3 linked regions of the Styela clava genome follow. The protein of the gene in region 1 binds, or shares a complex with, the protein of each later gene. Links are inferred from orthologs where the notes say so. Each region holds a gene or a part of one and is shown in the gene's direction. Other genes may lie near its edges.

Region 1 (4,366 bases):
ATGAAACAAACCAAGGAATACGTTTAAACTTAAATTAACCAATTACCGTGCCGTATTATCGCTGTAATAACCATAGCATGCGTGTCGCCAAAACGATAAAATGCAAAATTACTGTACAGCGAGTGTGAGTTCGATTCCCTATAATGACGCACATTCAGATATCATTGGACATGATTCCATGATAATTGCGATTATCAGCTTTGTCAAGACCGATTTGTGGCAGAAGTCCTGAGACTATTTAATATTCCGTAGCTTTGTACATTGGTGTATCGGCCGCCATACCTCAGTGGTTGGAGCACTGGTCTCGTGGACCAGGGGTCGTGAGTTCGGTCCTCACTGGTGGCTTCCATCTATCTTCTCGTTTTCTGCAAAGCAATTTCTAAATTTACTTTGAATGTTACCCATTAGCCACAGCAATGAACTTCCAGTTCTAAATACATTGGCTCGATATCAACGACGGAAAAGAGAGAAATTCTTGAAAAATAAGGGTAAGGGTACGATAGATAATGACTCCCCGTCTTACACCAGTATCCAGCCAGGGATGTATTTTTAAAATGCTTTTCTTTGATTTTCGATCAGGATGCGGCCTCGTATTTTTGTCGCGTTGTACGTTGGCTGCCATAGCTCAGTGTTTAGAGCACTGGTCTTGTAAACCAGAGGTCGTGAGTTCTATCCTCACTGGCGGCTTTATAATCCCTATTTATTCTATACTAACACAATTCAACTCCTGTGTTTACTCTTCAATATGAGTACTGCTGTGAGCAATTTACACAGCTAAATAACATATAGATAGGCCAGAATAGGTCGATGCAACGCACTCGAGTGAGTGAAAAGTTAGCTCTACATATTAATTAAGATAGTACAATTGACATATGTCATGGAATAAATTCCTTTATGAAGTGTATACATACACCTCAATGTAATATAATGGTTTATGTTCAGTTGTCTTTGACTCCGACCACCATCGGTAAAACGTATGCGAGACGTTTTTTTTAATACAAAATGCATCATGCCAGATTGCAGTGCATCAAACTGAGACATATGTATATTTTAGCATTGAATCTGTCATAATTCAAGTTCACTATTTACTAATAATTATATCGTCATAAGTATATACAATATACTTTTAATATTATACTTATATTAGAACAGAAATTATTTCTGAGATTTCTTATTTCCATGGAGAAATCTGGCATCTGTTATGCACTTTTACCGAGTGCGGTTTAATAATTCACCACTGTGAAGTTAGCATTATTATTAGACTATTGCTGTAGATTTTTAGATTATTCGGCATTTTGGTGTCATGAATTAATTTTAGCGGTTCATGTTTACTGAGATTCCACTTATTAATAATACTTAACTTTATATTTGATAGGGTTTTATTACAAAACAGATTGCCTGTTTCTACCATCACCTCATGTTTCAGAGAATTTGTAAAATCCTATCCTTTTGTCCTTGATCAAATAAAATGGCTGTAACATCGTGTACGTTATTCACCCTTTCGAATCTACCTCCAATTGAAATACATAGCATATTTTCAGACAGTAGCCTAGGATAACTTTAACAATTTTCTGAATCTAGATAGGCTAGTTCTGTAGTTTACATTTTAAAAGCAAAAGTTATCACTGTTCCAGGATTTTGTTTTTCAGTTCTAAATCAACTATGAAAATGGCGTTATCAAGAAAAGAAGCTGATGAATTGAAGCCTCAAATCAGTGGAATTGTTGAAAAAGTACTTGGTTTCTCCGACAATTCTGTTGTCGTGGCAGCAATCCAATGTCTACAGAAGGACATGGACAAAGGAAGAATAATTGGTTTGTATTTATTGTTGCTTTACCACAATGATAAATCGTAAACAGGATTTCTAAAGCCCTCCATTTGAAATGCAAAAATCTTTGTTGCATCTCCTGAACAATTTCTGGAAGTTGTTGTTTCTATTTCCTCTTTCAGTCTTTATTCTGTTATTTGTGTATCAATTTTTATTTATTAGAGTTCTCGGGGCTTAACCACCTGAATATCTATTACTCTAAGATTTTCATTGGCGGAATAAATATGAAATCGACTCATGCTGATCGTTATCATAAGAATGTTGGTGTCTTATCGATTGGTTTTTCGACTCGGCTCCTAGTTGTGTTCATCTTACTTCTACAAGGACTCTTTGTCGTTCTCAAACATCATTTTATTCAGACATCTCTTTATGGTATACCTATAAACATGGTTCATGGTTATACTTATGGTTCAATAGCAAATATTGTGAAATTGAAGATTGAAATTATTTATTTATCCGGTAGATCATTATTGGATAGAGATGCATCCAGTGCTATCATTTTTGCTTATTAATATCTCCAGTGACAGAGCAGTTATGTTGGTATTGAGAACAAATTTTACCTATTTGATGTGAATCATCTCGTAAATCTATAATTTGAAATTAAAAGTGTTGAAAAGAAACATATCACCTAATGTCATGCAATGAAGCGCATCTCTCATTGACAGTAAGGAATGGCTAGGATTTTATATTAGAGTTACATATCTGACATTTGTTATTGCGTTTTTGAGACTTCACGTTTTTCAAGTTTTAAAATATAGCTTCTTATTGAACCTCTTATTTATTCACAACATTTCATTCAGAACATCTGCAACCTCTGATGGATAAATCAGCAAAAAAGTTTGTTGAGGAGTTGTATACAACAGTTGAACTTTCTAAAACGAAAAAGAAAAGCAGAAAAAGAAAGGTCAGTTTTTCTTTGTTTTTTCTTCGGAACCATTTTTTATGAGCAGGCTCTGAACAAGGTTCTAGACATGTTGCCAGATTGATTGGCATATAATAAATACAGGTTAGGTGGAAACGATTAGAATTTGAAATCTCAAAATGCGAAGTGAATTATTTGAATGCAGACTTAAAATATCTGGTTTACCAGAAATTCGTTGTCTTGGCGATTAAGATTTGATTTTCATGTAGGTTTTTGTGTGGGAACAGTTTTTTGTGGCTCTCAAACAAGTCGAATATTTATATTGCAATTGCCCCATTTTGAAATAATTTCACACTTGTCGTCAAGTAACTTACCTGTCAACAAAGCAATTCTTATTCTTTCTAATCATATTGTTTTAGGAGGATGAAGTTGAAACAGCAGGGACCAAGAAAGTTCGTCGTTTTGTTGAACCTGATATTCCTGTTGCTCTTCCTGCTGAACCCATCGCTGAGAGTCCTGGAATGCTCACCACTCAACAGGTGAAGACGAGATTTTGTCGTTTCCATTCACTTACTATCTTTCAATTAACCTATACGAACCTGCCGAAATCCTATGTTATTCTGCAAGCTTCCATTGAACCCCATCAATTTTACCAGTAAGAGTTGATAAGGCTATAAAAATGCAACAATCTTCAATTTAATTCGTTATTATGTAGCATAGGTTGAGTTTTTAGGACATACACTCTAACAATGATATGACTCATCAACACCCTGAATGCAGCGCTCATTTAATCAATGTTAGGCAATCCACTGTTCGGATACGACCGCCAGCCAAATTCATTCAGCTTGAGACGTATCAACTAGCTTTCACAAGAATAGGGCTAGTCGCTTTTTATACAGTTCTAACTAAACCGCAGTGTTGCCACTATTCAAAGAATATGCGTATCGCCAAATAATCTTCAGCGGAATAAAACTACGGTATATGTAACTAATTATTTCCTCACTTAAAGCTCCAGATAAGTAGCTGCTTATACCTGGACAATAACTAATTTTACTAATCAGCATGTCTAATATATTTGTGTGTCATGTCGTGGGCCTTGGGCTTAATATGCTTAACTTCTGATATTCATCTATTGCATTTAACTACTCGACCTTATCGTCTCATATTTAGTTATTTTAAATACATTTTATATCAAAAATATCATAGTTCCACAGTGTGACCAGAAAAGCCTCCATTTAATATATGGAGTCTATATCGGTAATATGGAAGAGAAGACCACTCAAATTGATGTTTTTCTGAATTACTCATATGCTATTCCAAATTCAAAGTCATTGGATAAATATATAAAACACTTAAAGTCCCTAAAATCACGAATTAACTAACGTATTTTACGCAGCACACTAGGTCATGATGCGCACCGTCAATAAATTGCTCAGATTGGGTTTTTATTCATACATAAGGCGGAACCGTACTGGTTTTGAGCGCAGGCACATTACCTGGTCTATTACATTAGGCGCGTCGCGTTGGCTCGGAAGCCGCACAATCAATTTTCAGAAAAAAGTATTTGAAACGCTGCCTTCCGTAAAATACTGTATATAGAATATAACTATCTTTAGATATATTTGAATACTGTTTTCATTTTCTACATACCTGTGCTAGGTATGCCTAACTATCAGT
Region 2 (4,366 bases), on another chromosome or scaffold:
GTAACCAAATAAACCTCACTAAATATCTGTCGTACATTGACCACCTTCCACCAGTAATCCATAATTAGTTTCCCGTCCACTCCCGGTAACAAAGCTTTAGGAATACCAATCAAATTGCTGTATTTTCCAGTTGTATCATTTTTAATGTCTTCTTCCAACTTGGCACCATGGCCCGCCACAAGCAATATGCACAGCATCATGGGATTTGAAAGTGTAGTACTCAAGATAACAGAGTGAATCACTGGCCATAAAAAACAAAGACATATATGATAGAAAAGATTTTCATTTACATTTAGACAGTTAGAAGAGTGAAGATGATAACACTGTAACATGGCTCAACCACATAGCACACAGCTTTTGGTTTGATTACCAGTACATACATGGAAAAGATGATTAGAAAAATACATGATAAAAATAATATAAATTGAAGATTAGATTAGGATATGATTTTCCTATTTACTGTAATTATTCCAATGAGAAGCAAACCAATAAGGTGTCCCAATCACATATTTCCAATTTAAACCTAGTAAAAGTACAAATAGGAATCAGAATTAGAAAAAGTCGATATCCCTTTAGTACGATATGAGTTCAAAACAATTTTGTATTATTTACACATACAGACATATCAAAAGCGTTCTATAAAATTACATATGTATTGCGTAAGGTAGGTAGGTATTGCATTTCTTAATACAATTTTCGCATCACATTTAGACATATTTCATGTTCCTGAGCATTTAATTCATTCTACATTTAAATATAATTCTTATTACTCATTGAAAATATCTATTCAACCCAATTGCGGAAATTCTATGTGGCTGATTTTTCACACATATCTAGGATAATTATTGTTGAGTAATCGGCGCGGCGGTGTGGCTCAACGGGCTAAGCGTTAGGAATACGCTCGCCACCGCACCTCTAACTACTCTGCGTGGGTTCGCAGGTTCGAATCCCATGCAGGGATGGTTATGTGCGAGAGGATTGCTGGACTCCTCGCCGTCGTTGGGTGGTTCACGTAACCGCTGGTCGGTTACGGCTTCCTCCACCACCAAGTCCATGCTTCCAAAAACAAACAATACAGTAAATCTAATCCCATACCCGACTTGGAATGGTAACCGGACGAGAGGCCGTGGTTCGCCATATGGATAAGCCGTCTTATCGGCTTTCCTCTCCCCCGGGATAAATATGTAAATCCTATCCTATCCTACTGCAACATCCCAATACCGTGTCCTGGTATCAAAATACTGCGTAACGACTTTATCTGCGGGTAGCTGCGTTTCAACATCAATCTTCCAATGTTCATTTTAGTTAGAACTACTATCTTTTGATACAAATATTAGAAAAATAACCTTGCCTTTGCATCTTTTCCTTCCAAAAATATTCGAAAATAAGGAGTGCATTTTAAAAAGTTTACTACAAGGGGAATTCCCGAGTTAACCAGAAAACATCTTTTAATATTAATGTGGTTTCGTGCTCAAGTTCGAAAGATTTGAGTGTTTTTTTAGCATCAAGTTTTGTTGTTTAGAATTATAAATATTTGATAATGAAGTTGTGTTGTTGAATTCTTTTAAAATATATCATTTTCGTAAGATTTGAACTTATTTCCTATCGGAATCAGCCAAGCGTAGTTTTTTTGACACGTGACACCGACGTTCAATTTTCGTTCATGCTGCATTTTGTGGGGAAAATTATTCGCTGAGCGTTGTATTTTTCTACAATCTGTATATTTTGAAGGTCTAATCATGGATATAAAAAGTATTAAAAACGAAGTGGATTCGGAAGAGAACTCTGAACCCGCAAAAAAACGAAAAATTTCAGACAGTGAAATTAAACAAGAAGCTCCAGAACAAAAAATATTAGCTTTGGTTGAAGAATATTCGTCTGAAGAAGAATACAGGTATGATGACGAACCAAAGATTGATAGAAGTCGAAGCTGCCCGTATTTAGATACAATTAAACGCAGTGTTTTAGATTTTGATTTCGAAAAATTGTGCTCAGTGTCTCTCTCTCATTTGAACGTTTATGCTTGTCTCGTTTGCGGAAAATATTTTCAAGGAAGGGGCAAAAAATCTCATGCCTACACTCACAGTGTTGAGATAAATCATCATGTATTTTTGAATCTGAGGACTCTGAAATTTTACTGCCTCCCTGATAACTATGAAATTTTAGATTCATCACTTGAAGATATTACTTATGTTCTTAACCCTACTTTTAAAAAGAATCATATCGCTGAATTAAGCACAAGTTCCAAACTTAGTAGAGCTTACGATAGCACAACGTACTTGCCAGGAATAGTCGGGCTCAATAACATCAAAGCGAATGATTATTGTAACGTTGTTTTACAAGCGTTGTCAAACATCCCTCCATTGAGGGATTATTTTTTGAGAGAAGAGAATTACTCTCATATTAAACGGCCACCTGGTGACATCATGATTCTTTTAACTCAAAGATTTGGAGAATTGATTCGTAAATTATGGAATCCTCGTAATTTCAAAGCCCATGTGTCACCACACGAGATGCTGCAGAGCATTGTGCTCTGCTCTCGTAAACGATTCCAAATCACTGTACAAGGTGATCCTCTTGAATTACTTGCTTGGTTTTTGAATTCTTTACATGTTGCCCTAAATGGAACCAAGAAGAAGAGTTCCAGCATCATCACTGAAACTTTCCAGGGAGAAATGAAAATTTATTCAAGAAAAGTTCCTAACCCTGAACTACCAGAAGAAGAAAAAGTGAAACTGTTAGATCTGCCAGAATACCAAGAAACAATGCAAAAATCACCGTTTTTATATCTCACATTAGACCTACTTGCTGCCCCTCTCTACAAGGACGAACAGGAACAAAATATTATCCCACAAGTTCCGTTATTTAACCTTCTTGCAAAATTTAACGGCCTCACTGAGAAAGAATACAAAGGAAAACGAGATTTCACCATGAAAAAGTTTGAGCTTACACGTCTCCCTCCGTTTTTAATTTTCTACATCAAACGATTCACGAAAAATCTATTCTTCATAGAGAAAAATCCTACAATTGTTAATTTTCCCGTCAAAAATATCGATCTCGCGGAATTTGTCGCTGCTGATGCAGATATTAAAGACACATGTTATGATCTGGTTGCAAATATTGTGCATGATGGCGACCCGAACATTGGGAAAGGCACATATCGTGTTTATATTCTCCACCAAGGATCTAACCAATGGTATGAGATGCAAGATCTTCATGTGAGCGACATTTTGCCACAAATGATTACTCTCTCTGAAGCTTACATCCAAATATGGGCCCAAAGAAAAGGTGGAAAAGAATATGCATTTTCTAATGAAATGCAAGCCAAAGCAAAATCGGATGGAGTCAAAATGGAAATATAAATAACATTCATTATTGCTTGATTATTTAGCAAATGCATTTCATATTAGCCAATTTGGCTACTAGTCTTCGGAATTATTAGATCTTTGCTATGTCGAATTGCTATATGGGGAATTGATGATGTGCAAAATTGGCATGAAAAAAATTTTTAGTTTTAAAAGAGTGTTACAGTCTTTGACTGGCCAATTTAAATACTAATCCTTAGTGTGCCCCTCCGCAACTTGGAAAGCTATGATAAAATAGTGTGTAAACTAAACCCACATTTGAATGGAACTTTAACTGACCAGTTGCTTATAGGTGATGGAATAAACCAGACCTGTTTTTTGTTTGTAAAATATTATTATTGGAAGCTAACTGTTCAATCTTGCTCATGCTTTTGTTTAATATTCAACTTTCTAATGATGGCTACTTTAGCACTAATTTCATATGGCATACTCAACTCGGTACTCCCGTAGTGTGTGTACCAGATTAGGGTTAGGCTTAATATACCCCCTGCCCATAGGCTTCCATCCCTTTACACAACTTGATGTAAAGTAGGCGAACTAAATTAGTTACCTCTATTTGGTACACACAATTCTGGAGCGCCCTCAACTTAAGTAACACTTATAAATGAATGAGGTAATGAAATCCAATTTGAGGTATTGGTGACAGTGATATGTATATTTATACAAATTTTCTCATTGGCTTGCTTCATACCACACCCTTTATAATTATCACAAGTAATCAAGAATTGGTTGATATAAATTATCTTTTGTTTTCTGAGCCTGTAGTCACGCTCTCCATGATAAGAGTTTGCAACCTCGATATATAAGTGTGTAGAATACGTGGCAAAATTGCGATTAGCAAATAGATTGATCGAATCAGAAATCTTGTTTAATATAATAGTCATCTCTTTATTATACATGGCATGTACTGTTTACTCACGATCTGTTCAATGGGCTACATGATTGTCTATCCAAAATTTACCATTTGTTTGCTTTCCATTTTAAAAACTTTCAAAAAATTT
Region 3 (4,366 bases), about 3.1 Mb from region 1:
TCCGAGAGAGAGTAAAGTTGATAGGACGTCTTAACCATATGGCGAACCACGGCCTCTCGTCCGGTTACCATTCCATGTCGAGTATGGGATTAGTTATTTGTTTTCAGAAGCATGGACTTGATGGTGGAGGAAGCCGTAATTCTTGAATTCAGGAATAATTTTGAATATTTTCTTTTGAAAATGTCTTTTTGAGCATTTATTATATTGTGACAGACAAAAAATTAGTAACTTCTCACAGAATAAAATGGAGAATACCAATTAAAACGGTATTTATCCCAATTATTCCGCTTAACCAAGTTTGATTTTATGAATCTACAATTTTCTTCTTTTGAAGAGACTCATTTCAGAATGTATTCGATATTTTAAATTCAAAAATATTATTTCAGGAAGTATTCGTAGTATTACAGTATTCACTCTTCGCTTTAGTTTTTAATCATTTTGGCTTCTTACTCTTGTATGACCTAATATTAGACTTTTCCTAGGTGTCACTGCTCGATAACCAGCACAGGTTTATTGTTTCCCCTTTTCACCCAAAAAGGCTTTTTTTTTCACCTCGTTTGGGGCTCCCGAAGTATGCGAACCAAGATGGCGGACATCGGAATGTAATATGTGTACTAGGTTAGGGTTAGGCCATAATTTTAGGTATGAATACTACGGGAGGCTCTTCGAACTGATAATAGGACTAAAATAAGGAAAATTGGAAAAAAATTATCGCCTGACCCTAACCTGTTACCCATGTTACGTTCCGATGTCCGCCATCTTGGTTCGCATACTTCGGGAGCACCCCTCGTTCTGTATGTAAAAATTATTCACAATATGGTGAAAAAACTAACTACTGATTACAGATAGATAAAATATTCTTAATTATTTCTCTCATTAATTGTTTAACATAAGTGTTTCTAAATATGCTTTTGTATCGGAATAACTGTTTTAAATATATATAAATTACTTATCTATACAAATTTTCTTTTTTATTTCAGTCTTAGTAAGACATATGCCCTTAGCAATGCTACCTTTTCATTTATCGGCTGATGATAAAGTTTTAAATAAAAATTTCCTTCATTAATTGTTTATATCAAGTAATTCCGAATACTAAATATGCTTTTGTATCAAAACAACTGTACTAAATATAACAAATTTTCCTTATTATTTCAGTTATTGTAAATCTTAGACAAAGCAATTTTAGCAATGTTACCTTTATCTTTATTAAAGACAGCTGTGAACCATCCCATGCTGGTGGAATTGAAGAATGGAGAAACGTATAACGGACATCTGGTTAATTGTGATAATTGGATGAATATTAATCTGAGGGTAGGTTTTGCTCTTGGTTATGGATTTGATCATTCAAATTTGGAATCGTTATTTCATCAAATTTCTATGAAGCAGGGTTGAGATGCTTGGCGTGGCACAACACTGGGTGATCCTCCCCCTCGAAGGTTGAATCCTCTGGGAGATAGAATAAGATTTACATATTCGTCCCTGGCGAGAGAAAAGTCATTAAGACGGCTTAGTCGTATAGCGAAGTACGGCCTCTCGTCCGGTTACCATTCCAAGTCGGGTATGGGATTAGTCAGTTATTTGTTTTCGGAAGCATGGACTTGATGGTGGAGGAAGCCGTAACTGACCAGCGGTTACGTAAACCACCCTATTGGGCAAGGAGTCCAGAAATCCTCTTGCACATAGCCATCCCCAAATGGGATTCGAACCTGCACACCCATGTAGGGTAATCAGAGGTGTGGTGGCGAGTATATTCTAAAGCTTAGAACAATGCTATAAGTTTGAAATGATACGAAGAGCTTGTTCATATGAATGATTGTTTTTTTTTTACATTTCAATGCAGTGTTCAAGTTATCTGACTAAATAACAACATGTTTGGTGATGCAAATGAAGTATTAAACTTCCAGGCAAATCTCATCAAACCTATCCTAAGATCAGGGGCCAGGTTTTCAAAAGGGGGCGGTTCTGAAATTGGGAATAAACACACCAGCTTCTAAAACAGGCGCCGTGATTAAGTTGAAATGAACTTTTTCATCGGATAATGATTTTTCTGTTTCGTAAAATGTTCAATCCAGGGCCGATGTGAAATAGACTTTTCAACCCACAAATTACCACACACCGAAGCCCCCCCCCTGGTAATTCCCCTGCCTAAAATTAACAGAACAAAACAGATCAGAAAATTGATGACGGAGCGTTACATGAAAGCTCTCCCTATTTTTAATTTTTCATGTATCTTTTCATGTCTCAGGAAGTCATCTGCACTTCAAGAGACGGCGACCATTTTTGGAAAATGCCGGAGTGTTACATACGAGGCAGCACAATCAAGTATCTACGAATTCCCGATGAAATTATCGACATGGTAAAAGAAGAAAATTTCTCTAAAGGTCGCGGAAGAGGGCGAGGTCCAAGGGGCCGTGGAGGAGGCCCGAATAGAGGTGGATTTGGAGGTCGTGGAAGGTCACAAGGGGGAGGACGTGGAGGCCAGGGAGGGAAAAAACCACAAAGACCCAAACCCCAAGAGTGATAAAGGGGAATCAATTTGATGTGTCTGTTTGGAGGAGAAACTACTACAAGTCATTCTTGTGTGGTTACTGAAAGAAATTCTTGTCTGATAAGTTGACTTGATTATTTATTCACATACCACTAGCTCGTGGCTCGATTCATGATTAGTTTTTTTGCTAAATAACCATTCAAAGTTGAGTCTCATTTACCTCTGATTGAGTGCCCATAATGCACCATTATAGTCATAGTCTAGTTTATTTTTTCCCATTCAGTAAAAAATAACATACGAAATTAACAAAATACAAAACTGAAAACACATTTTTACTGGGGAAGGGAAGTCGCGGGGAACCAGGAATGGTTATCGAGCAGCGACACCCGACATTATGATTCTATATTGTTCCAGTAGCTTTGACTTTTTTAGTGATTGCACATAACTTCACTCAGAGATGAGTCCACTTTACTTTTTGGTGAGTGCGCATAGTGCTTCATGATTCTATATATTTTTAGTGGTCGCTTTCTGCGATTGCACATGACTTCGCTCAGAGGCGAGTCTTCTTTACTTTTGAGAGAATTCTTTTAATGGATAATTTGAACTACGGTCTCTTGTCTGGTCACAAGTTTAGGGTGGATATAAAAATAGTTACCGTATGTACTTTTTAGTTATGTAATTCACTTCAGGTTCGTGGACTTGATAGCCAGGAATTTTCAAAGGGGGGAGGGGATTCTTAAATTTTAATTGCCAAGTTAAACCATAACAGCTAGTGGGTCTCAATGCTTGCAATATTCGAGAAATTGAATTGCCTTACATGTTCTCTCCCCGGGCTTTGCCCTTGTTGGTGGCGTCCTAAACTAAAATGTCTCGTGTTTTAAACCTCAAGCTTTGGCAATATTCCTGAATTTCAGCTTTGTGTGTTTGTATTTTTGTACCAATGTTATTTCACTAATCAATCAAGTTTGGAATACAGAATAACTGCTGCAATGTGAACACTGAATAAATTTGTGTGGGAACAGGATATTTTCATATTTCAGGAAGTTGGTTTTCTTATTTCAATCATAGTTTCTCATTCAGATAACAACGAGTGTAGAATATGGAAATAAATATCCGAACCAGATATGTGGCGCTGTTTTTTTGCTGGTAGTTAGGGAATGTGTTTTTTTTTTCGAAGTCCAGGTAACTTCGCTTCAACATACATACATGTATGTTTATTCGTCTCGTAAATACACTCTTAAGGCTTTTCGAGTAGTTATAGTTCTCAAAAGTTTGAATACTTTTCAGTTCTCACAAAACTACATTCTCACAAAAGTACGTTTTCCCAAAACTTCATTCTCACAAAAGTACGTTTCCCCAAAACTACATTCTCACAAAAGTACTTTCTCGCAAAGCTACATTCTCACAAAAGTCCGTTCTCGCAAAACTAGATTCTTACAAAAGTTCGTTTACGGCTTTATGCAAAACTACATTCTCGCAAACCTACCTTCTCACAAAAGTACTTTCTTGAAAAGCTACATTCTCGCAAACCTACATTCTCACAAATATGCGTTTTCACAAAACTACATTCTCACAAACGTACTTTCTCGCAAAGCTACATTCTCACAAAAGTTCGTTCTCGCAAAACTACATTCTTACAAAAGTCCGCTTACGCAAAACTACATTCTCGTAAAAGTATGATCTCGCAAACCTACATACTCACAAAAGTCCGTTCTTGCAAACCTACATTCTCGCAAAACTACATATTTTTTTAAGTACGTTTTCGCCCGTTTAAATCGGCGAGTCGCAAGTTCACTTGGGAAGAGAGAAGAGAAGCAAAAGCGACGAGAAACGACGGCAAGAGAGGAAAAAGTCATTGCAGGAATCGTTTGAATGAAT

Evidence for each region.
Region 2: U4/U6 small nuclear ribonucleoprotein Prp3-like (region 1) and ubiquitin carboxyl-terminal hydrolase 39-like share a complex: the UniProt entries of both Homo sapiens proteins name them as parts of the U4/U6-U5 tri-snRNP complex. The link is inferred for Styela clava from reciprocal best matches to the Homo sapiens genes PRPF3 and USP39.
Region 3: U4/U6 small nuclear ribonucleoprotein Prp3-like (region 1) and U6 snRNA-associated Sm-like protein LSm4 share a complex: the UniProt entries of both Homo sapiens proteins name them as parts of the precatalytic spliceosome. The link is inferred for Styela clava from reciprocal best matches to the Homo sapiens genes PRPF3 and LSM4.

The regions. Positions count from the first base shown.
Region 1 is NC_135262.1:3,874,583-3,878,948, forward strand, and holds the start of U4/U6 small nuclear ribonucleoprotein Prp3-like, read left to right. Parts: upstream 1-1,315; 5' UTR 1,316-1,662; coding exon 1,663-1,813; intron 1,814-2,627; coding exon 2,628-2,731; intron 2,732-3,108; coding exon 3,109-3,228; intron 3,229-4,366. UniProt on the Homo sapiens protein: Plays a role in pre-mRNA splicing as component of the U4/U6-U5 tri-snRNP complex that is involved in spliceosome assembly, and as component of the precatalytic spliceosome (spliceosome B complex).
Region 2 is NC_135257.1:18,732,924-18,737,289, reverse strand, and holds the start of ubiquitin carboxyl-terminal hydrolase 39-like, read left to right. Parts: upstream 1-1,631; 5' UTR 1,632-1,739; coding exon 1,740-3,362; 3' UTR 3,363-4,366. Other genes in the region: uncharacterized protein LOC120345593, read right to left, coding at 1-332.
Region 3 is NC_135262.1:751,125-755,490, reverse strand, and holds U6 snRNA-associated Sm-like protein LSm4, read left to right. Parts: upstream 1-1,132; 5' UTR 1,133-1,188; coding exon 1,189-1,311; intron 1,312-2,245; coding exon 2,246-2,521; 3' UTR 2,522-3,512; downstream 3,513-4,366. UniProt on the Homo sapiens protein: Plays a role in pre-mRNA splicing as component of the U4/U6-U5 tri-snRNP complex that is involved in spliceosome assembly, and as component of the precatalytic spliceosome (spliceosome B complex).